Linked DNA regions of Arabidopsis thaliana. The protein of the gene in region 1 interacts with the protein of each later gene in a pairwise test. Each region holds a gene or a part of one and is shown in the gene's direction. Other genes may lie near its edges. The genes, in order: NAP5, AT2G26030, AT5G44960 and BAM1.

Evidence for each region.
Region 2: the proteins of NAP5 (region 1) and AT2G26030 interact in a protein complementation assay, tested with the Arabidopsis thaliana proteins (one large-scale study listed by BioGRID).
Region 3: the proteins of NAP5 (region 1) and AT5G44960 interact in a protein complementation assay, tested with the Arabidopsis thaliana proteins (one large-scale study listed by BioGRID).
Region 4: the proteins of NAP5 (region 1) and BAM1 interact in a protein complementation assay, tested with the Arabidopsis thaliana proteins (one large-scale study listed by BioGRID).

Annotation. Positions count from the first base shown.
Region 1 is NC_003070.9:26,880,978-26,888,146, reverse strand, and holds NAP5 (non-intrinsic ABC protein 5), read left to right. Parts: upstream 1-2,977; coding exon 2,978-3,208; intron 3,209-3,304; coding exon 3,305-3,391; intron 3,392-3,476; coding exon 3,477-4,133; downstream 4,134-7,169. Other genes in the region: GDPD4 (PLC-like phosphodiesterases superfamily protein), read left to right, coding at 826-1,092, 1,179-1,276, 1,381-1,441, 1,532-1,612, 1,714-1,806, 2,053-2,142, 2,216-2,343, 2,423-2,591; AT1G71320 (F-box family protein), read right to left, coding at 4,329-4,960, 5,074-5,310, 5,353-5,662.
Region 2 is NC_003071.7:11,089,405-11,097,532, reverse strand, and holds AT2G26030 (F-box/RNI-like/FBD-like domains-containing protein), read left to right. Parts: upstream 1-4,088; 5' UTR 4,089-4,532; coding exon 4,533-5,441; intron 5,442-5,527; coding exon 5,528-5,668; intron 5,669-5,734; coding exon 5,735-6,028; 3' UTR 6,029-6,203; downstream 6,204-8,128. Other genes in the region: PYL2 (PYR1-like 2), read left to right, coding at 2,129-2,701; PDF1.2b (plant defensin 1.2b), read right to left, coding at 7,936-8,114.
Region 3 is NC_003076.8:18,150,984-18,158,492, forward strand, and holds AT5G44960 (F-box/RNI-like/FBD-like domains-containing protein), read left to right. Parts: upstream 1-2,868; coding exon 2,869-3,483; intron 3,484-3,558; coding exon 3,559-3,786; intron 3,787-3,865; coding exon 3,866-4,006; intron 4,007-4,141; coding exon 4,142-4,408; downstream 4,409-7,509. Other genes in the region: AT5G44950 (F-box/RNI-like/FBD-like domains-containing protein), read left to right, coding at 682-1,581, 1,680-1,820, 1,906-2,181; AT5G44970 (Protein with RNI-like/FBD-like domain), read left to right, coding at 4,854-4,985, 5,144-5,752, 5,842-5,982, 6,070-6,357; AT5G44973 (defensin-like protein), read right to left, coding at 6,708-6,955, 7,137-7,197.
Region 4 is NC_003076.8:26,278,054-26,287,741, forward strand, and holds BAM1 (Leucine-rich receptor-like protein kinase family protein), read left to right. Parts: upstream 1-3,657; 5' UTR 3,658-3,772; coding exon 3,773-6,371; intron 6,372-6,479; coding exon 6,480-6,892; 3' UTR 6,893-6,912; exon of another isoform or gene 6,913-7,038; 3' UTR 7,039-7,360; downstream 7,361-9,688. UniProt on the Arabidopsis thaliana protein: Necessary for male gametophyte development, as well as ovule specification and function. Involved in cell-cell communication process required during early anther development, and regulating cell division and differentiation to organize cell layers.

The DNA of each region.
Region 1 (7,169 bases):
AGCACCGTTGGTCGGCTTCGTTCTTCAAATTTAGTTTTTGCCTTTCAACCTTGTTCGATTCTATTTTGCTTCGGTTTTAATTGGTTTTGATTTCTCTTTCTCTTCATTTCGATCTAAATTTGTAATTTTTCGATCCTCCCTTCTTTAAGGGGCTTAATTTGTTCTTCAAGCTTATTGAGTTTTCATTTTAAAAGATCAAATTTTTAGTTACGGATTGAAGTTTAATTTAGTGTCTTTTGTTTGATTTTGATGAAATTAGAGCTGTTGTTTGTCTTTCTTGTTGCCGATGCTTGTTGAATCGTTTGGGTTTATGTTGTTTTTCCTTTAAATGGCAGAAGTCGAAGTCGATAGTTTGTGAGCTATTTCTTTCTTGAAGGTTTTAAATTTTACAGTCATTGTCACAGAAGATTTGTCAATTGTCTCATCGGATTTGTAGCTGCTTCCGATTTGGCGTTTACAGCAATTCCGGTGAACTTAAGTTTTTTGTGGTTATGATTCTCCACCTGCGACATTCTGCAACTCATCATTTTCTGTTTCCACGTGTCCTCTTTACCGTGTCTCTAGTGCCATGTGGGCTTTGACTTATTAGCACATTAGCTTTCTCTTCTTCAGAAGGTGGTCTTTGGGCTTTTGTCCGTTTATGGCCTGTTATATGGCTTTGTAAAATATGGCTTGTTAAAAGGCTTTGTAATATAAATAATAAAACAGTTGTGACAAAAAAAAAAAAATATATAGTTTGATGGTGATTGGTGAACTTCTTTTTTTTCCAAGATTGCAGTAAACGTCGTCTTTAGCTCCAAAAACAACCTTTGTCTTGTTCAGCTAATGGCGATTTTTGAATGGCGGCACAGAAGACGGCCATTCGACGGCGGAGGAACTCGTCGCCGTCGTTTCTTCAGCCCATTGTATTCGAGAAATTTCAAGAGAACGATTCTCTTCGCTGTGATTTTCTTAGCTATCTTCCCTCCTCTCTACTTCCATTTCAAGCTCCGACGAATTCGTCAGATTGTCGCGCAAAAGTGCGATTGGCTTCACCATCCTCCACTTGTCTGTGCTCACGGCGGCGATTCCACCCTCGCTTTCCCAAACACTGTACGTACACTCTCGATCTCTTCTTCTTCACACTCTTGCTACTAACCTTTTTAAACCTTAATCTCTTGGACTCTTCTCAATCGTAGATGGACGCTTACAGTTTCGCTATACGTTCTCGAGTTGATTGCATTGAAGTCGATGTTTCTCGTTCCTCCGATGGTGTTTTATTCGCTCTTCACAACAGGTTACAGACTCTGATCCTTGTTGTATCATCTTCTTCTAATGTTTCTGTGTTTGGATTCTCATCGGTGTTCTTCTTATTCATCTTCTGATCACACGCACAGTCAGGGATCTGCAGCGTATTGCTCGTAACTCTTCTGTTCAAGTTGGAGATCTGAGTATGAAACAGGTCTCATCTCTCCCTCTCTCTCTTTACCAGCTTTTGGGATATGCTTTTTTGCATCCATTTTTCATAAACCTTTTGATGATCTTTTTGCAGATCAAGGAACTCGATGTCTCGGAGATTGTTAAAGGAACCTTGGGAAGTAGTAGGATTCCTACTCTTGAAGAGGCTTTAGCGGTAATGCCTGTTTTTTTAATTACTATCTTGTCATTGCTTTGCTTTGTAATTTCTGCTTAGTAACAAGTGGCTGAAGCTAGTTTTGATCTTGAATCATCTAGTTGATATCGAATTCAGTCCGGAAAGTGATCCTTGATGCCAAAGTTGGACCGCCAATGTATGAAAAGGGGTTAGCACAAGACATCCTTTCTATTGTAAGTACTATGTTTTTGTTAGCTCTTGTACTTGTAAAGCTTTAGTACAATGTGCTCGAGATTTATAAACATGTTTTGATTCCTTAATAGCGTTGCTTAATCATTTATTTCCTGGTATCTTTGTACACAAAGCTAGAACAGCTTACTATAGATACTTGAAAAAACAAGAGTATGGATAAATTGTTGATGTTTCAATGGTGGTATTTCTGGCTTTGCTCACATGAATCGCCAATCCTCTGTTGTTAGATTGAGAGAGCGCAGTGCAATAATTGCATCGTATGGGCCAAAAGCGACACTTTGGCTAGGGACATAATTAGACGAGCACCAGATACTATGGTAAACAGAAATGGATTGTCTTGTGAGGATCAGATAGAGAAGTTTCTTGCTCATTTCCTAGTGATTTTGGCAGGTGGGATACATTGTGATGGTAGATCCTTTGACTGGGGCGAGAAACAGCCTGCTGAGAATGAAGGGAGCTAGGGTTGTGGGAGTTTATCATCCCTTGATCGATGAAGAATTAGTTAGAGTTGTCCGTCGGTAAGCAATCGATTTCAATGTTTTCAAATAAAAACACACCTGCTCATGTGTTTACAACCTTGCTCGATCTGATCAACAGGAGAAACAAAGAGGTGTATGCATGGACTGTGGATGATGCTGATCCCATGAAAAGGATGCTTCACTTAGGTGTGGATGCTGTTGTGACGAGCGATCCATCTATGTTTCAGGGTCTCATGGAAGATCTTAGAACTGAGTGTCTTGAAGAAGGTTTTTCAATACGGACGTGAGAATTTCTTTTTCGAGCATTCTTAATGACTGTAATACCAACTCAGAAGTTTTTGGCAAAGATCTTTCTTTATGTTGTTTTGCTGATCCACAAGTTTTTGACAACTACACACTACGACGCCTTGATACACAGTAAGACGAGTCTTTCTCAAGAAAAGCAAAGTATGGCCGGTTCTTGATGAAGCCATTGCTTCTATCGATACAGCTACTGATAATCTGATCCAGGAGACTCTGAGGCAACACTTTTCGGACTGCACAGTGAAAACAATCTCACACAGATATCTTCTTTTATACATAACGATATGAGCCTGCTCCTAGAACAAGGTCTAATACACTTGTATTTAAGTTTAAATAATCAGATGACTGATATTAAGTCTGTTTATATAATATGGATAGAGAACGATATGATAAGGTGATTGAAGCATGTTCTTTGAGTAAAGATCTGGAGATACTTTCATTCGGTGATCAGACCGTCATTGGAGAACGCGGCATCAATTTGAGTGGTGGACAAAAGCAAAGAATACATATTGCACGCGCTCTCTACCAAGATGCGGACATCTATCTGTTTGATGATCCTTTTAGTGCTGTCGATGCACACACAGGGTCACATCTCTTTAAGGTACAATCTTCTTACTTAGCCATTAGTGTGATTGTGATTTCTCCTTCCGTAAACAATCATGTATCAAATTTATTTTCATTCTCATACTTTTTTCAGGAAGCTCTACGAGGGCTTTTATGTTCTAAATCGGTTATATATGTAACCCATCAAGTTGAGTTCTTACCTTCTGCTGATCTTACACTGGTATGTGAATAGTTCACTGTCTTTTATCATTTTCTACAGCACTGAGAATATGAAATCATCCATAACCGATTTTCTTATGCCTCAGGTCATGAAAGATGGGAGAATCAGCCAAGCTGGAAAATATAATGATATCCTCATCTCTGGAACAGATTTCAGGGAGCTTATAGGTGCGCATCAAGAGTCTCTGGCAGTAGTTGGGTCGGCTGATGCCAGTTCTGTTTCTGAAAACTCAGCTTTAGACGAAGAAAATGGTGTTGTGAGAGATGATATTGGTTTCGACGGGAAACAAGAAAGTCAAGATCTGAAGAACGATAAATTAGATTCTGGGGAGCCCCAAAGACAATTTGTTCAAGAGGAAGAGAGGGCGAAAGGTAGCGTCGCTTTGGATGTATACTGGAAATATATCACACTGGCATACGGAGGAGCTCTTGTGCCTTTCATATTGTTGGGGCAAATTCTCTTTCAGCTTCTACAGATTGGAAGTAACTACTGGATGGCTTGGGCTACTCCTATTTCTGAGGATGTGCAAGCTCCTGTGAAACTTTCTACGTTAATGGTTGTGTATGTTGCTTTGGCATTTGGAAGTTCCCTCTGCATTCTTGTTAGAGCCACGCTTCTTGTCACGGCTGGTTACAAGACTGCTACTGAACTGTTTCATAAAATGCATCACTGCATTTTCCGTTCTCCAATGTCTTTTAAAATTGCAAAAACTTGTTCAAAAACTTGTATATATTCATCATAACTATATCCAAATATGTATTATATTGACAGAAAGAAAGAAAACAAGAGAAAATAAAACATAAAAATAATCCATAATGTCAAATAAAGAAATTACAATATACTTAAAATAAATAAATATCTAAACATCTTTTTTTTAAAAATATTCTTTTTAACTTACATATAATATTGTTAAAAATTGAAAGTATAATTAACAACATCAAAGCATCAAATTTGAAGGAGAAATCATTGTTGGCAAATACGAAATCGTTCTTTGTCTAAAAAAAGAAACTTGATCTTGACGATTTCTGATATTTGAAAAATAGGCAGCCGCTAGACCAAGCATCCAAAACTTTTCATGTAATTGGTTGGTTCTTATAACGTCAATCTTAATAGAATATATTTTCTCCCATTTTTCGGTAGGATATTCTTGGTGTAAACTCCAAACGACCAAATTTGAACTTTCTAGCACATCCGATAGGCACAAACGTTCATTCAGATTCCACATTTCTATATTAGTAGCATATTTGGTGTCACACTCTGGTAATAATATCCATCGAAATTCTTCAGTGTGAAGATCGATAGCTAATAGCTGGTAAGATGTTTGACTAAGCTTCTTTAATGTCAACCAAAAGAGGGATCCGTTGGCGTAGACTGATGTTTGCTCATCGCAGAAGATACAATGATGTATGTCATAAAACCCTACGTCTCTTTGCTCACCATTATCAAGGGATAGGACCTTGGCCTTGAACTCATGATCATGTATTTCATATCTTGTATATATCAAAACCACCTTATAAGATTTTTTAACAATATCTTTGCCAAATCCAGCAAGAGACGGCATTCTCTTCACTAATCCACCTTGACGAAAAATTTTTTTTTGATAAATAGGTATATAACATATTACTATGTGAAAGTTAAAATTCAACTCTATAATCAACCATAGAACAAGAAAGTTGACAAACCAGATATGTCATAATCCAATACTGATTGAGAAAGTTGTCTCCATGGTTTATTGGCCATTGCGGGGGTTAAGTAACTAAGAGTAAATGGCCATTGCATAAATTCGGGAGAAAGTTTCATGTGTTCTTTAGTCGTCGGATTGATCAAGTAAATGGACCTGAAATCGTCATGGATCCGAAGCAAGACCAATCCATCACAAGACCCCAATACTTGAATAGTTTTATTTTGAGATTCGTCGACTGGATCACCAGAAAAAGTGTAGTAACTAGAAGAAGAAAGACAAGTTTTTCTGTTGTTTTGATCATCTCTAGAAAAAGTCTCCAAAAGAAAAGTTATTGAGTTTGAATATTCTTCAACAAAATTCGCTGTAAAGTGTTGACTAATATGAAGAAATTTCATATTAGGGGTTGGTAAGCCTGTACGAATGAGTCGTTTGTGGGAAAAGTAGGTTGATTCGATCATCGATGTCCATTTTTTTGATAAGACTTTGAATCTAGCCAGTGATTTTATTGGAAGATGGTGAAAGATCCCTTCAGCTATATCATCTGGTATAAATATTGTCTTGGGATTATTATGTTTATCATTCTCCATTCTTTTCCTACGATGATGATTCTTGGAGTAGATTTGTGTATCTCTATATATAAAGAAAATAATGATCTAATGTTGGATTTTTAACTTTAGATTTAACATTAACTGTGGCGAAAAATATATAACACTATTAATTTATATTAGAATAATAAAGAGCAAATAAATAAACATGTATTTGTTTATGCTATAAATAATAAATGTTGATTAATATATGTTTATATTATTCCTAAAAATAATGAAAATAAATTAAGACAATTTATGATTAAATATGCTTTCATTTAATTTTCTTTAGCAATTAATCCCTTAGAATTAATTCTTTGATAGATTTTAAAATTTCATCTACAAATTCTTGAAAAAGGTTTGGTATCTACTTTTTTAATCCTAATTAACTAGATTAGAACATGTCCGATGTGCAATAGACCGTGGTATATAACGATGCATGTATCATCCATTCTTTAACAATTAATCACCTTCAACAATGCAACACTCTAAAGTCTTAACACTCTAAAAAAGATTTAACACTAATAATTTAGTTTACAATTATGAATTAGAAATAATAAATATGTATAATAGGCTATAAATATATATAATATAATCTTACAATAATTTAAAATATAGAAATGAAAATCTTACAATAAATCTTACAATTTGAATACTGTAAAATGATTGTAACATTGATCTAATAACATATTGATAATGTGAAATTGCCGAGCTTTTTTTCTTCTGCAGACCGAGGGATAGAGAGGAGATGGAGAGGCTTCAGGAGAGAAGGGTGACATCAATACGCAGCGTTTTGAAAGAACCTAGGAATTAAATTTACATTTAACCAAATCAATGTAATAAAACCATTGGTCCGGTCTGACCAATTTACCGCTCCCTAACTAAACCGACTACGTACCGTTTTGAAATCCTTCCCTAATCAGAATCTTGAGATTACAGAGAGAGCAGCAAACGTCGTCGTTTTAGGTCTTATCTAATTAACCTAATCATATATATGAAAGTTGGTCAACTCTCTCCCACAATTTGACACATCAGCACATGAGAGCTTGGCACCTAGACTTCATAAAATAAATAATACATAATTAGTAATTAATTCAACATAATAACTAAAATAGGAGGATATAATTAATCAGAACTTGAACCATCACTCTTTCTACATTTTTTAATTCAATATATTCTCTTTAATTTTGAGATCCAAACATGTTACACATACTAAATTTTAACCCGCGGTATACCGAGGGAACAATTTATTTTTTAAATTTAGTATATATAAAAGTTTATAAATTGTATCTATCTATAAAATAATTTTATTTTATAGTTTACAAATGTTATTAAGTAACGTCCTGCCAAACCCGTCCTCTAAAAAAAAAACCATTTATTTTATTAATGTTGATCTTATTTATGATATGTTTATGAATCATTGTCTAAATATTTTGTAATTTTGTAGTAATTAAATGCTATCAGATTATATCTCTGCGCTTTGATGATTATAATCGAATTGTTATAGTTA
Region 2 (8,128 bases), on another chromosome or scaffold:
TTCTAATTAAATAGTTATTCTAATTATTATTTGCTACATTTGTATCAAAGTAGATAATTTCAGATTATAATTTTTTTTTAATATATACCAAAACTTTAAACATCAATTACTAAAACTTTAATTAATCACTTACCAAAACAATTTATGTATACAACCACTTTAAAACATCACTTACATTGAAAGAGAGTTCTACAATATTGTTTGCATTTGCTCTAATTCGTTACGTAAGATTTGACTTAGATAATTAATCACCTCGTTAACGACAAATGGCATAGTCTCATTAAATAATTGTAGAACCAACTTATTTAAAGCACTATTCAACTAATAAAAAGACCTATGGCAGAAAGAATTACTCCTTATTGAATAACTTAACTATTATTGCATTAAATGAATAAAATATCAAATAAAACGAGACAATAACTGTTTCTAAATATATCACTAATTATGAAATAGAGAGAGTAGTGTATGTTTTAAGATTTTGTAAAAATACTAATCTGACTACTTTTTGTAATCAACAAGCTTTTATCTTAGTTAAGAGCAATGTTATATAGCTTCACCTCTATCACCAGTCGGATTCTAAGCATTGTATAGCTTCTTCATATTTTGTTTAAGAAACATAAACTTATCGAACTGGAATTGCCCCTCGATAAGTTTCTTTTTTAGAAAATAAGCAACTTTCCTATGATTATATCATCTCTTCTCCATAGAATTCTTGTTAGCTACCGAAAAATGATTAAATCACTCCTTATTACCAAAACATATTACATTGGATCTATAACTTGTAATTGATAAATTCTATTAAATTTCAAAGAAACAAGGATCTTTAAGACATAAGAAAAACAATTGTAAAGAAATAAAAATAAACGATAATAAGTTTATATCATAAATTTATTTATTTTACATTGAAATGAAAACCATGAAATAAAATAAATTTCTCTGAAATATTACTTATTATGGAAGGAGAAGATATTTTAGTTCACATTTTATATTTGGGTACTGTATCAAAGTTATACCCGAATCGGGTTTGGCTCGGCTCGTTGTTCAAGAACCATAACCGTAAATGAAGACAAAATAGTTTTATGGATAGTTAAATTAGGTGCTTTCTAAAAATGATCAAGCATCGAACATCTATTATGGTAAGACCTAATTATTAAATACATGTGCAATACAGTGTTACCGTCCCACTAAATCAAGGAATAATACAGAGAATTTTGTTAACTACAAGACAAAATAACCCAGCTCTGACCACCACCTTTCTTTCTTTTTTTCTTTCGAGACCCAAAAGAGTGGTGACCGGATATTTATTTAATATTTTGTCATTTCCCCACAGTTTTATTTAAATTTATAAAATAAAATATTGGAGTAGGTCCATCAATTTAGTTATTGGATTTTGGGAGGTGGTTGGACCAAGTCTTAATGTGTAGTGACTGTTCATTGAAAACATAATTATATGCCAATGTTAACATTATGTATTAACTGATTTAAAGTTTACTAAAACCACCTTTACAATAAATAAAATTTCACTTCTAGAAATAAAGATTGTTTTCACCTTATAGGTTAAAGATATTGAGTTCAATTTACGCCAATGTATAAATCCTCTACATAAATAAGAAGATGGAAACTCTTTGACAAAATGGGCTTATAAATAAGAAATGATCTAGTTTTTGTATTCCCTCTTGTTTAATATTTTTACCCACAAATTAAGAAAGCATAAAATATTCATTTAATTGTTCTCTTTACATAAAAAAACATTATTAATTAAACTGAATTCAACTAATATAAAAAATGATTGTAAAATATAATTGGTATAAAAATGCATTTAATTTGTATAAAAAATTGAAAGCATCACTTAAAATGAAACTTTTTGTTTTTGCTAAAACATCACTTAAAATGATACGGGAAGAGTATAAGTTAGAACAAGAGTTAATATATGGACAATAAACAAACAGAAAGGGATAAATCCGTCCAAAGAACAACACCCATAGATTTGTAGTAATATATAAAAAAACACTCATAGCTCCCAAAAAAAGAACTGTCTTTTATTCTCATCTCTTTCACAAACCCCCCAACCTCCAACAAGAAGACCTCTCTTTCATAAAACCCTCACACGTGTGACTGATTCATCACCATGAGCTCATCCCCGGCCGTGAAAGGCCTAACCGATGAAGAGCAGAAAACCCTCGAACCGGTTATCAAAACGTACCACCAGTTCGAACCAGACCCAACCACGTGCACTTCTCTCATAACCCAACGCATCCACGCTCCGGCCTCCGTGGTTTGGCCTCTTATCCGCCGCTTCGACAACCCCGAACGCTACAAACACTTTGTAAAAAGGTGCCGTCTCATCTCCGGTGATGGTGACGTCGGAAGCGTCAGAGAAGTGACCGTAATCTCCGGCCTCCCAGCCTCAACCAGTACCGAGCGGCTTGAGTTCGTCGATGACGACCACCGTGTTCTAAGCTTCAGGGTCGTCGGCGGAGAGCACCGACTCAAGAACTACAAATCAGTGACGTCGGTCAATGAGTTCTTGAATCAAGATTCCGGCAAGGTTTACACGGTGGTTCTTGAATCTTACACCGTTGATATTCCCGAGGGAAACACAGAGGAAGACACTAAAATGTTTGTGGACACTGTCGTCAAACTCAACCTTCAGAAACTCGGAGTTGCCGCCACATCTGCACCTATGCATGATGATGAATAATTTCAAGTTTATTTCTTATATTTTCTCTCGGTAAGTTTTTTCCTTTCTTCTGATGATTATTGATTATTTACTTAATTTGTGAGATTTACTATTGGAAGCAAATGTTTAATTCGATTCCGTTAACGAAACTATTGTTGCATAACGCATATTAGTTCTCTGTTTATTTTTTTCCAATAAACGGCAAATCACGAATTCTGTCATTTGATTTTGCTTTTTCACCATCTATTTTTGAATAAATTTGGACTATTTTTGAATAAACTTTGGACTATTTTTGATGATGTCAAAAATTGGTATTACACTCTTAATTAATATTGGTTATAGTTGGTCTATAGTATTTGCGCTACAAAGAGTCAAGAAATCTTGCCGGTTATCAAAAAGCAAAAAGGAACTTAGAAATCACTTCTTGTCGCAATGTTGAATTAGATTTTTATTTACCTTACCAAAATCATTCTTCTTCTTCTTCTTATTAGGTTAACGTTTTTTAGGGCACCTTTGAAAAAAGTTTATACATATATATTCCGATGGTTTGTGTCTCCACAAAACTTGTCCAATACATTTTTTTTCATTAATTATAGTCGTCTTAAAACATTGGACCGTTGTGATGTGTAGTCTAGTTATTTGTGTTGCTATGTAATTGTATCACACATTCAGATTTGGTCCCCTTTACTATGTGTTATTAAAAAAAAAATGGTAAGAATTGCGCCACAGTAGTTCCAGTTCAATAAAAATAATATAATTTTTTGTATTACAAGAGGAATCCATGGTCTAGATTCGTGTAGAAGCTCTTTTGCCTTTCACTTCTTTAAAGTGCTGGAAAAGAGAAGTGTGTCACATTATGCATGCAGCCATGTACTACTTCCAATGGTTGTGTCTCCACAAGTTGTTTTACCTTTTCAATAGAAAGACAAATACAGTTTTTCTATTTCGCTTGATTTTCTTTTTCTTTTTCCTCCAAAATTGCTTTAAAGTAAAGTATATCTAATTGACAGTAATCTTTAATATTCAGAAATATATATACTTTATATTTTCACTTGGAATTGGAAGTATATATATTACATATTAAATATAATCTAACTTTTTATTTATAAACAATTAAAATCTATTGTTAACTAAATTTAGTTTCATATTTAAAAAATGTTAGAATTATATTTATAAATAGGTTTTTAAGACATAGTTTTTTTTTTAAACATTATAACTACATATTATAACTAATTATGATCTTCTTCTAACATAATTTATTATCTTTTTTATATAAAAAAAATCTCTTTACAAATTTTATAATCAATATCTTCTTAAAAAGATAGCTAAAATCCATTTTCTTGGATACATATTATTTTTATTTAAAATATATTATATTTAATAGTATCAATAGTGTTAAAGATATTATATGGTTTTGAACATTATAATAAACATGTGATAATAAACATTATAGTAAAATCCTTCCAAATGGTCCTGAACCGAGTCAGCATCCAGACAAACTATGTTCTTCGGTTTGATATCATTTGAGTACTGAGTAGACATTCACATTTTGGGATAAGAAGAGTTTTTTTTCATAAATCGTAAATAAGATAAGAAGATATCAATGGGCTTATTCAAGCCCAATTAGGCCCAATCCCCGATCGTATCAGATAACAACGCCGGCGACGGTGACACGTTCACATTCACATTTTGGGATCAATTTTGAAACTCTACTCCGATAACTTCAACCATAATTCTCCGGCGAGTCAGATCGACGGTGAGTTCTTCAGACCAAGCTCGATTACATGATTGTGTGTCTGATTTTGGGATCAGTTCTGAAACTATTTGATACTTTAGGATTTTGTTTCTTGCGATGAATTGCGATAGAATCTGCGAATTGCCAGATTCTTTACTAACTCAAGTACTCTCATACCTTCCGACCATAGATTCCGTTAAAACAAGCGTTTTATCGAAACGATGGGAATTTCTCTGGCTTAGGGTTCCTGTTCTCGACTTAAAAGTCAGCGATTTCCCTGACGAAAACTACGCAAGCTTTATCGACAATTTTCTCGAGTTTAATCGAAAATCACGAATGCGAAAATTCAAGTTGAAGTATGATGAATACACTTACGACGATGATCGGTTAGCTGGGTGGGTTGTAACAACGGTTGATCGCGGAATTCAACATCTAGATGCTAAAGGTTTTGAGACTAATATGTGTGTAAGAGAGTTCATGCCTCAGAATATTTATAAGTGCAATACATTGGTGTCTCTAATGCTTGTAACCGTAGGAATCGAGAATCCAGAGTTCGTTGTTTCACTACCGTCTCTTAAGATAATGCATTTAGAAGATGTTTGGTATTATGATGATCCTTTGATCATGGAGAAGATTATCTCAGGTTGTCCTGTTCTTGAAGATTTTGTATTGATTAGGCCTATTGATTTTTGTAATCTAGATGTTCTGCAGTTTCTTCGTGTGAGGTCTCTGAGTCTTAGAAGCTTTCGTCTTACGTTTGAGTATAGTGTTTCTTGTACGTATTTTTCGGTTGAGATTGATGCTCCTAGACTTGAGTATTTGAATTTTAATGATGACCAATCTGATACGATTGTAGTCAAGAACATGACTTCTTTGTCGATGATTGATATTGATAGTGAATTTAATGTTAAGTTTGGCGGCAGTCGTTTGGAACCGGGGGATTTACGCAAGAGAGATATCATCCGTGATTTTTTAACCGCGATATCTTGTGTAAGACATATGATCATCTCTCGGCGTACTTTAGAGGTGAAATATGTATTTTTTGATGCATATATGTGACAAGAAATGTACTTTGATTCCCTGTGATGTATCCTTTTCTTTCTTTATTGCAGGTCCTAGATCGATATTCGAAGTTGGTACCTATTCCGAAATTCGATAACTTGTACCGTTTACAAGCTGCGGTTTCTCGATCCATGTTGCAGTTGTTGCTTGTCTTTCTTGAGAGCTGCCCAAATCTTGAAAACCTCATCTTGGTAAGATTATGAATAAATCTATGATTTGGTTAGTTAAGAACATCTCTGAATATATTGTAAACACAGCGTGTGCACCTGCAGGACTTTACTGTTTCAACGGAGCCTGAGCAAGATGGACTTACCTATGTCCCTCAGTGTTTGTTATCGAGTTTGGAGTGTGTTGAGATTAGAGAATTGATTATGGGAGAAGAAACCGGGGAGAAATTAGTGAGGTATTTTCTCAAGAATTCAGTAGTTCTCAAGAAACTCATTTTGCGTTTAGAAGATTCTTCGATAGCAAACCAAGATTCAGATATCTTCAAGGAGCTTAGTACTTTCACAAAGCGTTCTCGCAGCTGTGAGGTTATCATCATTCATTGACAATGTTTATAGAAGATCATTGTAGAAATCTTTTGTTATGAAAAATTTGCAATTAGGCTTAGCCTTTTCCAGACATTGGTGTGGATAATATTAACTGTAAATTGTATTACTTTCTTCACTTACTTGTAAGATGTGATTATGATTGATTATAAAAGCAATTAAATTACGTACGAAATACGTTAAGAAGGATTGTTTTAACGACTGAATAGTGTTTTTTATTTACAGAATGGAAAATTACATTAAATTGCTACCAGACTATAGACAAGAATGTAGACAAGAAGAAACAGGTCTGGCTTTAATAACGCTTTCTCTTGATATGAGAAAATTTAGTTGGTGATCTACAAAAACATCCGGATCTTGAGTTTTTTTTTTGTATACCGTAATTCAACTTTTTAAATAATGTTTAATTTCTTCAACGTAGTCATGAGATAAGCTATTGAATTGACTCTATGTCGAGTGATTTAACTTGAACTTCCTATGAAAACATAGAAATAATTTCTTTCTTTTGACATATTCCGAAGATAAGGGTGATGATGGCAGCAAACTTATCCATGATAATTATTATTACTTTGCTTCAATGTATGTGTTATGTAAAGAAATAAGCTTATATTCAACCTTTATTTATAATGAAATGTTGGTGAGTTTATTTTCTACTTGTGAGCTGTACAATAACGTGGTAACCCCACAAATTACACACACAACGTCTGCTCGTAGCTGATATTAAAAGATAAGATCTTGGCTTATTAATAGTTGATGGCTTGTTTCTCCACCACATATTTTTTCTCTGTCAATGTCTAATGTATCCTAAGTTTTATTCAAAAAAAAAAAAATTGTATCCTGAGCGGCTGCTTTGGCTTTGAGCTAATGCTACATCGATCACATGCATGGGCGGCTGGTTAATCTGACTCGGACAAAATTCAAGAAAATAAGATCTTAATCAAAAAGGTAGGTAAAATGTAAAAACTTAAGATTGCCATAGTTAGACAAGTTTATTGATATGTCCGAGATTTTCACACTTAAGAAAAGTGTAGTTCGTAGTCTGAGTCGAATAAAATACCTCGGAAGTAACTTTGTACAAAGTTCCTGAACGGTAAAATTAAACCATATGACAGGAGCAAGCAGGTAAAACCAAGCGGTCGAATGTTTCCGGTTAAAGCATCACCCTAATTAGACTGTTAGACATATATCGTAGTGGACTATGCCATGATTTGGTGTGTGTTTTTTTTGCCAAAATTCAAACATGTTTAGGTTTTAATTACAAGACTGTATAACCTATGGATTTGGTCCATGGCAAAAAAAGTTAAAAAGCATTGAAGCAAAGATAATCTGTCCATCAACATGATTTGGTTGATCTCATCATCGTAGTTCGGCCAAGTTTGCAAAACAAGAAACTGCTCTAGAAAATTAAAGTTTTCCATTTACATTTTACGGGGAAACACCTTTAACTGAAAATTGGATTAGTCATCAATGTGTTGCTCTCATCGGCAGTAGGTTTTCAAACTAGCTTAGTTGGCTATAGATAAACAAACCGTTGTTGGTCATGGCTATGAATTTAGAGTACATATATAGGCAAAATGATATGATATGAATTTAGAGTACTTTTGATTAATAAAAATTAATTTTAACAAAAAAATAATATGGATTCTATTATATATTAATAAAGTGTCAATTTCTTGTGAGAGATACGTACTATGTCCTTAAAAAATAGTATGTATAATGGTCGTGTTGTAACCAAATATGGACAAGAAAAAAGTCCTACGTCGTACTTAAATTTTATATTTTTATAGAAAAGTCACACCAAACATTAAAACATAAACATGCATGCCTTAAGTCACTCATAGAATGACACAGACTTATTTTTAAAAATATAAATACACATCGATAAAGAACCAAAGAAAATTGGTAAATTAACATGGGACGTAACAGATACACTTGTGAGCTGGGAAGACATAGTTGCAAGATCCATGTTTTGCTCCTTCAAGGTTAATGCACTGATTCTTGCATGCATTGCTGTTTCCGCAAACTCCTGACCAAGTACCACTTGGCTTCTCGCACAACTTCTGTGCTTCCACCATTGTTGGTACTTCTGCGTATGTTACA
Region 3 (7,509 bases), on another chromosome or scaffold:
ATAAGGTTTATTAGGTTATCCCATCTTTTTGTTGTTTGAATTCTTTAACAACTAATGATCTATTGATCTTTAAAGGGCAAGCCTATGTAACTTTTATTGCTTTGGTTTCAAGCTATTTTGTCTCTTGAATCGGTAAAGTTACTAGATTGTTTCATTGAACGAATAGGTTGTTGGAGTATATCAGAAGAAAATAAGAATCCACATGGGCAAACAAAATGTTTAGAGATTCAGATTTTTGGTTCGGTTTTGGATTTTTTTTTAAACCGAACTATGCAAAAACTAAATGTATTAAATAATTTTTGATCAATAATATTTTACGGCATATTTTTTTATTGGTTGAATTAAATGTAGTTAATTGATTTTTTTATAGGAAAAAAAATCAAATGAGATTTTTGTGTGTTTTTAATCTTTGTGAAATATGCTCAAATATTCCCAAGATATTGCTCCACCATACTTTATATCGATTCATTTTTGTCTTTAACTGCTTAACCCTGAAACAAGATCTCTGGCGATAATCTGCCGTCAGACCAAATCGACGGTAAGTTCTTCACTCCCTTCCTTGAATGTACGTTTACCTTAGTGATTAAACCCTAGGTTTGAGATATAAAATTGAAAAACTTCATCAATGCATTGGATTTGATTTCGGATTTTGATGTCGTCGTCGTTGTTTATGATTTAGTGATGGGGCGCGATAGGATCAGCGAATTACCAGATGGTTTGCTAAATCATATACTCATGTACCTTCACATCGAAGAATCTATTAGGACAAGTGTTTTATCTAGCAGATGGAGAAAACTCTGGCTTAAGGTACCTGGTCTTGACGTGAACGTACATGACTTCCCTGCTGATGGAAACTTATTTGAGAGCTTGATGGACAAGTTTCTTGAGGTTAACCGCGGACGCCTACAAAATTTCAAGTTAAACTATGAAAGTAATTTGTATTATCTAATGGACAGATTTGTGCCGTGGATCGCTACAGTCGTTGATCGCGGTATTCAGCATCTAGATGTTACGGCCACTGATTGTCCTCCATGGACCATTGATTTTATGCCTGCCAACATTTGCAAGAGCAAGACGTTGGTGTCTTTAAAGCTCGTAAATGTAGGGCTTGACACTCCAAAGTTTGTTGTTTCTCTACCTTGTCTTAAGATCATGCATCTTGAAGACATTTTTTATAGTCCTTTGATTGCGGAGAACCTCATCTCAGGCTGTCCTGTTCTTGAAGATCTTACCATTGTAAGGAATCATGAGGATTTTCTTAACTTTCTGCGTGTGATGTCTCAAACTTTGAAGAACTTCCGTTTAACATTTGATTGGGGAATGGGTAGTAACGATTTTTCGGTCGAGATTGATGCACCAGGACTTAAGTACATGAGTTTTAGAGATAGTCAATCTGATAGAATAGTTGTAAAAAATTTGAGTTCCTTGGTCAAGATAGACCTTGATACTGAATTTAATCTCAAGTTTGGCCTCGGCAGTCCTTTGGAACCGGAGGACTTGACTAAGAGAGATATTATCCGAGATTTTCTTACCGGTATTTCGAGTGTCAAACATATGATCATCTCTCATCCTACTCTGGAGGTACGTACCTATATATTTGAAGTCTCTGATGTATTATATAACACATTGATTAAATGTACTTTAATTTTTCACATGTATCATATTCATTATCCTTGCAGGTGCTTTATCGTTATTCCAAAATCGGACAGCTTCCAAAATTCCATAACTTATATCATTTGCAAGCTGTGTTCTCCAGCTCATTGTTACAACTATTGCCCGCCTTCCTAGAAATCTGCCCAAATCTAAAAAACCTCATCTTGGTAAGAATGTGTTTGAATATGTGATTTGGCTTACAATAAAGAACCTTGTTGAAGTATAGTGTAAACTCAGCTTGTTTCTTTGCAGGACTATTCTATTTCAGCAGAGCCAGAGCAAATCGACTTTACCAATCTGCCTCGGTGTTTAATTTCGACGCTGGAGTACGTTGAGATTAAACAACTTACTATGAGGGAGGAAAGTGGGATTAAATTGGTGAAATACTTTCTTGAGAATTCAGCAGTCCTCAAGAAACTGACTCTGAGTTTCATAGATTCTCCCATGACCAACCAAGAGTCAGAGATCTACATGCAGCTTCTTACATCAACAAAACGATCTCGTGGGTGTCATGTTTTGATCTTATAATGCTTAAAGGTCAAATTATTCAACTTTTCTTGCTTTAATCTCAGTTTCTATATTCTTAAGAAAGTTGCATTTATAGACAAGGTGGTTTAGGTTTAACTTGGGAATTAAAACCTCAGGTGGTAATATTGTCTTTTTGTATTTTTGAAACTATGGAATATTCATATGGTTAAAAGCCAATTTATCTATGCATTTTATTGTTTTGGATCATCATCGAAAATCGGTTCTGTGCTATATCTCTACCATGGACAAGTATGTCGTTGAAGTAGAAAATAAGAATTTACATCTATAATGGGCTTTTGCTCAAGGTATCTTAATATCTTATACTATTTCAATTTTTGGCCGAAATTATATATTGTACAGGTTTCAATAAGGTTTCGTAAACCGCAAGTAAGTTGCATTGGTCCTCTTTTGGTTTATGTTTTTTTTTATAGGGCCCTTTTGGCCCTAAACCCAAAAATAAGATAAACCCCCTCGTAGGATTTCTCGAACCTGATCGATTCAAGTATTTAACGATCATCTTTCTAATTATCAAATCAAATCAAATCAAATCTGCCGTCAAATCAAAGCCTAGTAGGATTTCTCCAACTCCGGCAATAATCTGCTGTCAAATCAAATCGACGGAGACGGTTATTTCTTCATTCCTCATCGCACGATTTTGATGTTGATGTTGTTGTTCAGGATCTAGGGATGGAGGAGTGCGATTATATCAACGAATTGCCTGATTCTTTACTAACTCAGATACTCTTAGACCTTCGGACCAAAGATTCTGTTAAGACAAGCGTGTCGTCGAAGAGATGGAGAAATCTTTGGTTAAACGTTCCTGGACTTGACTTATTCAGCCTTCAATTCACAAATCCTCATCATGAAGAAGGCTTGATAAAGTTTATGGACAGATTTATGGAGTCTAACTGCAGGTCACGCCTGCAAAAGTTCATGATAAGGTATTTCGAATGCAATGGTTATCGAGATCGATTCATGGAGTTGATCGGTACAGTGGTTGATTGTGGAATTCAACATTTGTATGTTTATATGCATACTTGTAATAGAGTTGATTTCATACGTCAAAACATTTACAAGAGCAAGACATTGGTCTCTTTGAAGCTTTATAACGTAGAGTTGAAGAATCCAGACTTTGTTGTTTCTCTACCTTGTCTCAAGATCTTGAAACTGATGAAAATTTGTTACGGTGAGGATGGCCCTTTGGTTGTGGAGAAGCTCATCTCAGGATGTCCTGTTCTTGAAGATCTTGAGCTGATTAAGCCTTTTGATATTTTGACTCAGGACGTTATACTGTTTCTGCGTGTGAGCTCTCAGACTCTGAAAAGCCTTCGTTTATATTTTGCGACCAATGGGAGTGGTACAGAGTTTTGAGTTGAGATTGATGCTCCACGACTCAAGTATATGACATTTTACGAGAGTCGATTTGATAGGATTATGGTAAAGAACATGAGTTCCTTGTTTAGTATCGAAATTAGAGCCAAATCTAGTTTTGAGTATGGCGGTCTTTTGAAAGCAGAGGATCCAAGAAAGAGAGCTATTATCTGTGATTTTTTAACCGTGATATCTAGTGTAAGGCATATGATCATTTCTGGGAGCATTCTAGAGGTATATTTAACAATTTATTGTATTTAATTCTGTATGAAAAAAATATCTTCACATGTAATTTTTGTATTTTTTGTTGCAGGAGCTACATTCTTATTCCAAACTAGGATGGATTCCCCAATTCCGTAACTTATATCATTTGCAGGCTTCGTTCTTCGGTACATCGTTACAACTATTGCCAACCTTTCTTGAGAGCTGCCCAAATCTGAAAAACCTAATCATGGTAAGAATCTGATGGATCTTTAATTTGGCAAACTAAGAATATTGTTGGAACATATTATGACATCTGCTTTGTAAGAATCTGCTTGAAATATGTGATTTAGCTACAGAACATTGTTTGAATCATATTTTTTCGTAGGACTATGGGGCATTTAAGGAAGAAAATATCGACTTTCACGAAGTGCCTCAGTGTTTGATATCGACTCTCGAGTATGTTCACATTAACAAACTGATGATGATGGAGCAAAGTGGGATTAAACTAGTAAATTACTTTATTGAGAATTCAGCAGTCCTCAAGAAACTTACTCTACGTTTCTCATTTTTTTCTTCTATAGAGAGCGAGAGCTACAAGAAGCTTCTTACATCAACAAAGCTTTCTCCCACATGTCAAGTTATCTTTGTTTGACATGCAGATGATGATGCTTGTTAGCACATGGTCTTGTTTCATCTTTTGTTGGTTTTGTTTCAATCTCAGGACAGAGAGTTACGCAGTTAAATTATATTTTTGTCTTTTTTCTTTAAGAATTAATATTTTAATTTCAACATATAATAATTGTAGTTTAGATATTATTAATTAATAACTAAAAGAAATTTCCATTTATCTAGTTGTACTAAAGAAAATTTTAATAGGGTTTGGATTCATAATTTATTTGCTATATAAAAGCAATTCGTTCTTCACATTAAAAACAAACAAAAAAAACAATTCGTTATTATTCATTCGGAGAGTTCTTCTGATTCCTGCTTTGATCGTTACGTTTCCTGTGATTGTTTAAACCCTAGAATTTGGAGAAATCTGAGCAAAACACCTTTTGATATTGTAGTTTTAGAAGCTTTTAGGGTTACGTCTCATAATGCGAAACGATATAATCAGCGAACTTCCAGATTCTTTGATAACTCAGATTCTTTTATGGCTTCCAACCAAAGATTCAGTTAAGACAAGTGTTTATCGACCAGATGGAGAAATCTTTGGCTTGAAGTTCCAGGTCTAGACTTAAACTCCGTTGACTTCCCTTTCCCTTACAGAGATATCATCAAGAACTACACTGAAAGATTTCTTGAGTTTAACAGTGCGTCAGGCCTTCAAAAGTTCAAGATGACAAATAATCACGGCAACTACAATGTGTGTTGCGACAGATTAAAGGAGTGGATCGCCGCAGCGGTTGATCGCGGGATTCAACATTTAGATTTCGAGACCAAAAATCCTTCTCTCTTTCTCAAAGATTCCATGCCTATGAACATTTATAAGAGTAAGACATTGGTGTCTTTAAAGCTTGTATGCGTAGAGCTTGAGAATCCAAAGTTTGTTGTTTCTCTACCTTGTCTCAAGATCATGCATCTAGAAAATAATTGGTACGGTTATGATGCTCCTTTGGTTGTGGAGAAACTCATCGCAGGGTGTCTTGTTCTTGAAGATCTTACCGTGGTAAGGATTCATGATATGGTAATACCAGATCTGCCTCTTCTACATGTGAAGTCTCTGACACTGAAGATCTTACGTTTAGTGTTTGATTTGGAGATGATGACTACTATACCTATTTCGGTGGAGATTGATGCTCCAAAACTAGAGTATATGAGTTTTATAAATAGGCACTCTGATACAATCATGGTAAAGAATCTGAGTTCATTGTTCAAGTTAAATCTTGATACTGAATTTGGCTACAGTTCCTTGGAACCGAGAGATATTATCCGTGACGTTCTCACTGGTATATCGAGTGTAAGACAGATGATCATCTCTCAACGTACTCTAGAGGTAAATAATGTTTCTCTGTGATTAACAATTTAGTTTTTCTAGCTATGGAATGATTCCTCACTTAATAACATTCTGTTTCTCTTTTGCAGGTCATATGTCGTTATTCAAAACTCGGGCCTATTCCCAAATTCCATCACCTATCTCATTTGAAGGCTGCATTCTCCAGCACATCATTACAACTATTGCCCGCCTTTCTTGAGAGCTGCCCAAACCTGAAAAAACTCATCTTGGTAAGAATCTGTCTTTGATCTTTGATTTGGCAAATTAAGATCATTGTTGCATATATTGTAAGCTGATTAGCTCTTTTTATTTTGCAGGACTTATATGTTTCAGCGGAGCCAGAGGAAATCGATCTTACCAATGTGCCTCGGTGTATAACATCGACTCTGGAGTGTATTGAGATTAACAAACTGATTAGGAAGGAAGCAACTGGGGTTAAACTAGTTCATTATTTTCTTGAGAATTCACCAATCCTTAAGAAACTCAAGCCGAGTTTCACAGATTCTCCTATGAGTACTATGACCAATCTACCGTTAGATCATCTCTATAAAATGTATCTTACAGCCAGAAAGCGTTCTCGCAGATGTCAAGTTATCATTTCTTAACATGCATCTGATCATGTCAATGAGGGCATGAGCATTGTCATTGAAGATCAATGTAGAAGAATAATCTTATGAAAGTTGTAGTCAGGCTTAGCATTCTGTAGTTGGCACACAAATAATAGTGTCTTCTTCAGATTTGGTTATCTCACTTACATGCTTAAAGGTCAGATTAAGTGACATTTCTAGTTTTGATCTCAATCTCAGTTATTGGTTTGTGATTTTCGCAGACTGTTACGTAGAATCTGTTGTGATTCAATCAAGATATGTTCTATCATTTATAAAGGATTGATGAAATGTTTTTGTTGTTTCTAAGACATCTTATTTTATTAATTAGAATGTTGTCAATACATAATTTAGTTTGGGCAATCGGGCAGAGTTTGGCCTTGTTTGCGGCATACACATTTTCCGTTTACGCAACACGCCCGACGATAATCAGAACATGCCAACCCTCCACACTCAAGGTATGTGTCACATATCCCTCCATGATTCACATCGATTCTTTTTATATTCCCTTCTTCTAAATTTATCCTTGACGGATTAGGAAGACATTTGCTGTCGTTACATTCTTTGTCTTCCTTAGCCTCGATTAGTTTACTCTGATCTGTAGTTTATTTCAAGAAAAACAATGATTTCAAATTAGTATTCTCTATGTTTTCAAAAATTGATTTAAGTAGCGTATACGAATATAATGGAAACATAGATTATGCAAAATAAAAAAAAAGCTTGAGTTTAACCACTACACCATTTTATGAATTCCCAAATCAAAATTCAAATTTACTTACAAGAGAAGGACAGTAACAAGAGGGAGAGAAGAAAAGCCGTCTTAAAATAAAGGTTGGTCATAGCTAACAATTGTCTGTATTTGAATGTTGGATGATTGTTGTGTAAAGAGAATTTTATAGCCTTGCGTTCATTTATATATGGGATGAAAGAACAGGATTTGTTTTTTCTATACAACTGGAACTTTAAATTTTAGTACTATAATTCTACATAGATCGGATAGGAACAAACTTTTTTTCTTTCTTCAGTTATGACTAATTCAATCAAGATATGAAAGTCTATTTCCCCAAAAACAATTATGGTAATAAATCCACAATTTAATTTGGGATTTGTCCTTTCTACTACTTTTGAAAATATCATTTCCAAATCTATATT
Region 4 (9,688 bases), on another chromosome or scaffold:
ATTTATAAGGGGAGCAAAGAGGTTCAAAAGAAACAAGGAAATTGCTAATCACAATTAACAACGGTCACAATCACATAATATTTGACAAGATAAACTTAACGGTCACATAATATTTGACAAGAAACACTTAACGGTCACATAAAGATTTCCTTTTTTCCTTGGATGGCTTTTCATGAGTTTGTTTCCTTTGTTTGTTAGTTGTTACTGTGAGAGAATCTGATGAGTTTAATTAAAGTGAAGAATTCACTCATTGCATGATCCGATCCTCAAAAGTATGTATACTAACCACAACAATCATGATTGTCCATCAAATTTGTCTTTTTTTAATGTTCTTTTGTCAAGCGGCCCACAAACCCACCAGCTTGCCCCAATAAGCATCATCACAGGGCGGGCTTGAACTCTACATATGTCCATAAAATATCGGGCTTGCGGGTTGGCCCGCGAAACAAATAGAATTTGATGGAACCTTCTGCTTCGTCTAGAGGATCTCAAACTACTACAGTACTCTAATTTTCAACTAAACCTAAAACTCTTCAGACTTCAGAGGATTTCATACCAAAATTTCGATTCTAAGTTAAATTGTTACCATCCTGTTCATACATTCATCAATTTTTCAATGTGGTATCATCCTTTTCTTTCTAGTGTAAATCTGTTTTGATTGATTCTAGCTTTCATTAGTTGTCTATTGGATGTAGAAGGTGCGATACTGTTGTAAAAGAGACACAAACTCAATCTGACACCATTAGGTATAAGTAAATCCTGCAAATGGAAAGTGACTTACGAGTGGTAATAAATATAATGTTCAGAACATGTTTCCTCTCTAATTCTCTCTGTTTTCCCAATATTTAAAATACAGTTTCGCAAGTATTGAAAGTGTTTTAAAAAGTGATCATACATAGTAAGAGTAACTCGTAGAGAGAGATAAGTTATGGGAACTGACTGTATCAAATTAGTTGGACCATGTTTTATGTCCGTGATGGTCGGACTCAGAAACAGAGTGGTGATGTGAAGATGACATGTTTATGGTCCCATTTTCACTTTTATTGGGTCGTGTTTCACCTTTCAAATGAACCACTAGAAAATTGAAGCAACTTTTTTTTTTCAAACCAAAGGAAAAAAGATGACTTTGTTAAGACCTTTGTCTTGGTTTTTTTTGCTTCATCAAGCGTCGCTTTCGCAACATGTTCTCTCTATTATTACATGATTTCAAAACAAGCAAAACATATCACTGCCTAATTCTTAACTTTGTGCTTCAGTCTTTCCATAAATAATAGTTAACTTTCAAATTCCTAAATGTACTAAAATCAACTATGGTTGTTGAGCTTTATTATTCTTCCGTTTAATCTTGGTTCGAAAGAAAAAAGATATGGTATAATCATTCCATTCATATACGTATTACTAATCATAGTTATCTTTTTGGTGAGTAAAGAGATTTGAATCAAGATTGTGTGTTGGTAATAAGAATCCTTATAGAGATGTGCATTTAAGGAGACAGAAAGGAACACAGCACGAGACGATGCGGTTAGAGAATAAACAAAACAAAAAGAAACTTGGTAATGGATACAACGTGATTCCATCGTTAAACAACTTTGCTTTTGGCTTTGGATTCTTCTCTATTTTAACTCTTAACCCAATGTTATCTCATTATCCTTCATCTCAATCTATTTTTCTATTTACTTAAATTTGAGTTTTCAAGACACTTTTTAAAAAAATGAAAAAGGGTTAGAAATAGAGAAGAGAGTAAGAAAGAAGTGTAAAATCAAATAAACGAATCTCATTAAGCACCTACTTCCCACATCTTTCTTAAAGTTTCTTACATAAAGCTCCCTTCACACGTGCTTACCAAATCAGATTGTCAATAATTCTTGCTCAATAATTTTTCGAAATTTATTTGAATTTATCTAATAAAAATACATTGTTTGAGTATGATATTTTGCTTAAGAAGGTTGATTATTCTCCCTATCAAAGTCTAAAAAGAAGATTACAAAACAATTGTATGGTTAAATTCATATAAATTTGTGACTAGTATTTTAATATTTACATATATACAAATACTTATAGATGAAACGAGAATGCAGAAATGATTATAGATAGATCAGTGACAGTGAACTGTAGCAACCGGCAAAGAAACCTCGTTAGCTGGACACACGATTACGATCATGCCCCCAGTCTCCTCTGTCCAGACGGCTGCATTAATAACAACGAGCTAGAGGGTGTTTTCGTCTTTTCGATACTTATCCCAAAACCGACAATCTCTGGTTTGGACTCGAAGGCTGATTTGGTCAATTCATAGCAACCGAACGAGCAGTCCATTCAAGTCCAAAGAGCTCCTTAGTGGTAAAAGATGTAATTACGTAGATGTTCCATGGTCAAGAATGTATTCAGTCAAAATAAATATTTGACCAAAACTTTCGGTTAATTTCCTACCACCAGCAAAATTATAACTTTTTCTAATAATTATCAATCATTTTCAATCTCTTTTAATTTTCTTTTTCACTTTTTTTTATTAATTAAAGTCAATTCACACTATACAAAAAGAAGGAAGTCTAAATATTTTTTTACTTTCATGTTGCTTTTCTAACTTTTATATTTTGCTCTTCTCAACAGATTTTGCTGGTTTTTGTATTAGAAATATTATTATGTTTCCAGAAATGAATTTTTTATATGTCGTCTGGATTCGTATATATATATTGGAAAGTGAAATTAATTCATTTGATTTTTTTCTTTGATATATCGACCAAATCAAATAAATACGACCCCATTGTGGCATTGTTAATGCAAAAAGGCACAAGTACAAAAAAAACATAATAATTCACTATTTTATTTACAGACACATGGGCCCAATTCATACGGCCCAATTACCATAAACCTCTCTTTTAAAGAGTGGGTTCCACAGTGGTAAACTTTTTGACTATCCATTGGAATGATTGCATCTGGACCGTTCATCTACATTAATTATTGGGTTTTTTCGCTTTAAAGCATCAATTAACTTATTACGTATAGGATTAGATTACCAATAACGATCTTTTTAGCTTTTGTCGTTTTCCGATAAAACCATACGATTAAGAATATGACCTCTTGTATCTTTTGAGGGATTTTAGTTAATCTTTCTACATTTATTTTGTTGGATGCTCATACAATTATCCTGTGTCTCTCAAAATAAAACAAAAATTACTCTATTTATTAGTACATTACACATGATTATTTAGAAAATGTATATTGTGGTCATATGAAATGAGAAATTAAAGGAAATTTGTCAATACTTGAGAACATCACCATTCAAATGTTTCAAGAACAACATGACTCCAAAACAAAATAAATGAACCTTTCCCTAATAATAGTATATTCTCCATCGTACAAAGTTCTAAATAATACAATATTCATTTCGTCAAAGCATATGATGTGTTGGAATCAGAATTATCTGCAAATGTTTGAATTTCAAATGTTAGTATCAGGCTATTTTTACTGTTTTATCAAATATCGTTTCTTCTGCAATCTATCACTTGATTGTTTTATCAAATCAGCACTAGTATTATTGATTTTGTAATTTGTGTTTGTCTACCTCCAATTACTTTTTAGTGTTATGATTAGTAATGTAATAAAATCACAAATCTGACGTGGCACCTATATACAATTCCAAAAACAAGTGGAACGAATATAAAACAAATTCACACCTTCCTCATCTTCTTCTTCGTCTTCACTTACCTTCTCTCTACACTCACACCATCTCACAACCCTAATCTCTCCCACACAAGAGAGATAGAGAGAAACAATGAAACTTTTTCTTCTCCTTCTTTTTCTTCTCCACATTTCTCATACCTTCACCGCAAGCCGACCAATCTCCGAGTTCCGTGCTCTCCTCTCACTCAAAACCTCTCTCACCGGCGCCGGAGATGACAAAAACTCGCCTCTCTCTTCCTGGAAAGTCTCAACAAGCTTCTGTACATGGATTGGTGTCACGTGCGATGTATCTCGCCGTCACGTGACTTCTCTTGATCTCTCCGGTCTCAACCTCTCCGGTACTCTTTCCCCAGATGTTTCTCATTTACGTCTTCTTCAGAATCTATCACTCGCTGAAAATCTAATCTCCGGTCCGATTCCGCCGGAAATCTCGAGCCTTTCCGGTCTTCGTCACTTAAATCTCTCGAACAATGTCTTCAACGGTTCGTTTCCCGATGAGATTTCTTCTGGATTGGTGAATCTCCGAGTTCTTGATGTCTACAACAACAATCTAACCGGAGATTTACCGGTTTCCGTCACCAATCTGACTCAGCTCCGGCACCTTCACCTCGGTGGTAACTACTTCGCTGGAAAGATCCCGCCTTCGTACGGAAGCTGGCCAGTTATTGAGTATCTAGCGGTTTCCGGCAACGAGCTTGTCGGGAAAATCCCTCCAGAGATCGGAAACCTAACGACTCTCCGGGAGCTTTACATCGGCTACTACAACGCTTTCGAAGACGGTCTTCCTCCAGAGATCGGAAATCTATCGGAGCTAGTCAGATTCGACGGAGCTAATTGCGGATTAACCGGTGAGATTCCGCCGGAGATTGGGAAGCTTCAGAAACTCGATACGCTTTTCTTGCAAGTGAATGTCTTCTCCGGTCCATTAACTTGGGAGCTAGGAACGCTATCGAGTTTAAAATCAATGGATTTGTCTAACAACATGTTCACCGGAGAGATTCCAGCGAGTTTCGCAGAGTTGAAGAATCTCACGCTTTTGAATCTCTTCCGTAACAAACTTCACGGCGAGATACCGGAGTTCATCGGAGATTTGCCGGAGCTTGAAGTGTTACAGCTTTGGGAGAACAATTTCACCGGAAGCATCCCGCAGAAATTAGGAGAAAACGGTAAACTAAATCTCGTCGATCTCTCTTCCAATAAGCTGACCGGAACTTTACCGCCGAACATGTGCTCCGGTAACAAGTTAGAAACTTTAATCACTCTTGGAAACTTTCTCTTTGGTTCAATCCCTGATTCTCTTGGTAAATGTGAGTCTTTGACCCGGATCCGAATGGGTGAGAATTTCCTGAACGGGTCAATCCCAAAAGGACTATTCGGATTACCCAAATTAACTCAAGTGGAGCTCCAAGATAATTATCTCTCCGGAGAGTTACCAGTCGCCGGAGGTGTCTCTGTTAATCTTGGTCAGATCAGTTTATCAAACAACCAGCTCTCAGGTCCATTACCTCCGGCGATCGGGAACTTCACCGGCGTTCAGAAACTTCTTCTTGATGGAAACAAGTTCCAAGGTCCTATTCCTTCAGAGGTAGGGAAGCTTCAGCAGCTCTCGAAGATTGATTTCAGCCACAACTTGTTCTCCGGTCGAATCGCGCCGGAGATTAGTCGTTGCAAGCTCTTAACGTTTGTTGATCTGAGCAGAAACGAGCTCTCCGGTGAAATCCCAAATGAGATCACTGCTATGAAGATATTGAATTACTTGAACCTGTCGAGAAACCATCTGGTTGGATCAATCCCTGGTTCAATCTCGTCAATGCAGAGCTTAACATCTCTTGATTTCTCTTACAACAACCTCTCCGGTTTAGTTCCGGGAACAGGACAATTCAGTTACTTCAACTACACATCGTTCTTGGGTAATCCTGATCTCTGTGGTCCTTATCTTGGTCCTTGTAAAGACGGTGTTGCTAAAGGAGGTCACCAGAGTCATAGTAAAGGACCTTTATCAGCTTCTATGAAGTTATTGCTTGTTCTTGGACTACTTGTTTGTTCGATTGCGTTCGCGGTAGTAGCCATAATCAAAGCTAGATCATTGAAAAAGGCGAGTGAGTCACGGGCTTGGAGGTTAACAGCTTTCCAGAGACTAGACTTCACGTGTGACGATGTCTTGGATTCTCTCAAAGAAGACAACATTATAGGCAAAGGAGGAGCTGGTATTGTCTATAAAGGCGTAATGCCTAATGGTGATCTAGTCGCGGTTAAAAGACTCGCTGCAATGTCTCGTGGATCTTCCCATGATCACGGCTTCAACGCAGAGATTCAAACCTTAGGAAGGATAAGACACAGACACATAGTGAGGCTTCTCGGATTTTGCTCAAACCACGAGACGAATCTACTTGTCTATGAGTACATGCCTAATGGTAGTCTCGGTGAGGTGCTTCACGGTAAGAAAGGAGGACACTTGCATTGGGACACACGTTACAAGATTGCTCTTGAAGCTGCTAAAGGACTCTGTTACCTTCATCACGATTGTTCTCCATTGATCGTTCACAGAGATGTCAAATCAAACAACATCCTCCTTGATTCAAACTTTGAAGCTCATGTTGCTGACTTTGGTCTCGCTAAATTCCTTCAAGATTCCGGTACTTCTGAATGTATGTCTGCAATCGCTGGCTCTTACGGCTACATAGCTCCAGGTACTAAAATCTTCAAAAAAAGTTTCTAACTTTACAATCTCTTGCTCTGTTTTTCTCTTTAAAGTTTCTAACTTTACTATCTTTTGCTCTGTTTTGGTGTTTGTGTAGAGTATGCGTATACGTTGAAGGTAGATGAGAAGAGCGATGTGTATAGTTTCGGTGTGGTTCTTTTGGAACTCGTCACCGGAAGAAAACCTGTCGGAGAATTTGGAGACGGTGTCGATATAGTGCAATGGGTTCGTAAAATGACTGATTCGAACAAGGATTCGGTTCTGAAAGTATTGGATCCGAGACTTTCTTCGATTCCGATTCATGAAGTGACGCACGTCTTCTATGTAGCGATGCTCTGTGTAGAAGAACAAGCTGTTGAGAGGCCGACTATGAGAGAAGTTGTTCAGATTCTCACTGAGATCCCGAAGTTGCCACCGTCGAAGGATCAGCCGATGACGGAATCAGCGCCGGAGAGTGAGCTTTCGCCGAAGTCTGGTGTTCAAAGTCCGCCGGATCTACTCAATCTATGAGAGTTTTCTGATTCACGGCGGTTAATTTAGGGTACCGGTATAAGGGGTAAATTTGTCTTTTCATAAATGTTATTAGCGATGAGATTTGGTTGTTAATTTACTTTAATCCCTCTTAGTACGGTTTGTGCTTTGGTCCGGTTTAGTAGGTTTTTTTTTGAAAGAAGGTTGTTTAAACTCTTTTTAAGTGTGTTTCATTTTCCTTTTTTATGTTTTTAATCGGTATTCGGCTTTATTTAGTTTGTAATTTGTGTTAATGAAAATGTACAGTTGGTTTTTTTTTGAAGGAATTTCAAAATATCTTGAAAAGAGTGAAATGTGTAATGTGAACACTCTTGCATGTCTTGCTATAGAGTCACGCATCTGCAACTGATATGAACGATCACCTTCTTTATTGTTTTTAGGTATTTGACTTTGTTACAAAGATTCAAATGTAGCTACTAACACCTGCAATAACCTGAAAGAAATTTCATCAAACAGAAATTATATTTGATCTCCATCAACAAGATGTTTGAGAGCGGTTAAAGTTGTGGTTGCGTTTGCGTTTGGTGAAAATGTTAACTTGGAAGAATAATTAAAGAGGAAGCATGTGAGAGGTCAAAGGTATAAATGTGGTGGGGAGATAATGATTGGTTTTGAGTTAATATGAGAAGCCTATAAGGTGATATTTCTCCCACATGCAAAATATATACCAAAGTCTTTAAGTCTTTAATGATTTTGATGAGATCTCTTCTCTATTCCCTGCTCATGAAGCAATTTCTACTCTATGTAAAGCATTTATGATTTCATCGATCACTCATAAATATAAGCCACACCCAACTTACATTAATATGGTTTTCATTTGGCTGTACGTAGTTTCCAATGATGATTGTAGATCTAAGTCTAGGTTTTAATGAGAAAATTGGACCAAACAAACAAAATTGTAGCTATCTTCGTGTTTGTTCACATTTTGGAGATAACAGCCTAACTAGATCATGGGCTAAGTGTTAGCTTTGATAGGGATTCTCACGTAACTCTATGATAACATATTGCACTAAAATGTGATTTAGTTCACTCACTAAGTTAGTGACATTTCCAAAAAGTGTCATCCACTTAGCAAATTCCGTTGCTATGTTTATGATTCTTTCATTACTATACTCCAAGCAAGAATTTGACGAGTGATACTGCAATTTTATCTTTTTCATAAACGTAACGTTTATTTCACAAACAAACAAAAAGTGTTTTTGTAATTTCCTTGATGCACACATCAATTGCGTGTGTGTTCACGATTTCATCACATATACAACAACTATTTTCCATTTCACTGTGCGTCCATGGGATATTCATGTTCGATGGATCATAAAGGTAAAAGACTCAGGAAAAACAATAGTTAATGTCATTTCATATCAGCTTTATATTCTCACATTATGCGTAATTTCCGGACAAAAGAAAGCTATTAATTAGAAACTTTTTTTATCTCAAAGAATTTTCGTCTGTGACAACTCATAAGCACTGAAAATTAGACTACTCCAATTTTCTAACTCAATTTACTCTGTGTCTATGCTATAGACCTATCAGTTATGTAGCACATATAAATATCAATCCAAACATTTTAATTGGTAAGTTTTAGGGGTGAAAATGCCACGTGGAATTTATGATTGTGATGTGACAGAGACACGTAGAAAGAAGAAGGAGTGCACTGTGTTTTGAATGGGTCCGTTTTGTCTTTATCTTGGCCTTCATTGTTTTCCCCGACATAGTTATGTCCCATCCCTCGTAGTTGCTAAAGAGAATCCTTACACCAAGGTAAATTACAATAACAAAATTTAGAAATTTAAATTTATCAATTGATCTGATATGTGAAATGCAGTTTGTATACATTTGGTATTAGCCGCTCAATTTTCTTAAAAGATTTCAGAATTTAGTGTAGGTGATTAGGTATAATTAGTTGCTGGTCATCATAAGAAGAAAAACACAAAAACCCTAATTAATATTCGTACCTGCTATCACTAACACTATATAATATACGAAAGTGTCTAGCTAATTATGTAAGATGATTATAGTGGCTCTACCTTTTACTATGATTCACGTACTAGTGACTTGTGTTGGCCCAAATCTTACTCATTCCGTTTAAATTTTATAGTGTTTACATATATATATGTAATGGAGTTGGAATGCTCTTGGGGACATCAAGAATGACCGTTTGTTTATCCGTGACATATGACTGAACTAAGTAAAATAAAGGACGTAAATAGTTAGTATATGAATTTGATTCATGGATGAACGTCCGTGACATATGAGACCGTCGTATGTCAAGAAAATGTGTGTGAGAAAATTATATGTCATATACGATGATATCGTAACGTGGTGCTAGCTAGGTAGAGATTCGCTTTGTTTCGTAAATGCTCATCGACGTAAACAAAATCACTTTTGAGTTTTATAGTTTCACGAGTAATGATGTACTTGTATATTATGATGATTGCAGTACTCTTTTTTTCTTAAAGAAGAAAGCAGGAGATGATTGTAAATTTGTAAATGTATATTCTTGTAACCAGAGAATTATCATCAGAGATTAATAATGGTTAAATTTAGAAAGTAATAATAGTGAGGTGACACTGAAAGGACAAAAAGAAGAAGAGACAATTGGTTAAGTGCCACTTTTTCTATTTGTTGACATACATTTTTGAAAATCAAACGTGACAAATATTTCCAAATGCTTCTGATCCTTTTGAATTTTAAGCACATAGCTCTTTTAAAAATAATTAAATTACAATTAGCTGTAAAGTTCACTTGCCTCATTATTTACAAGATAGAGAAATA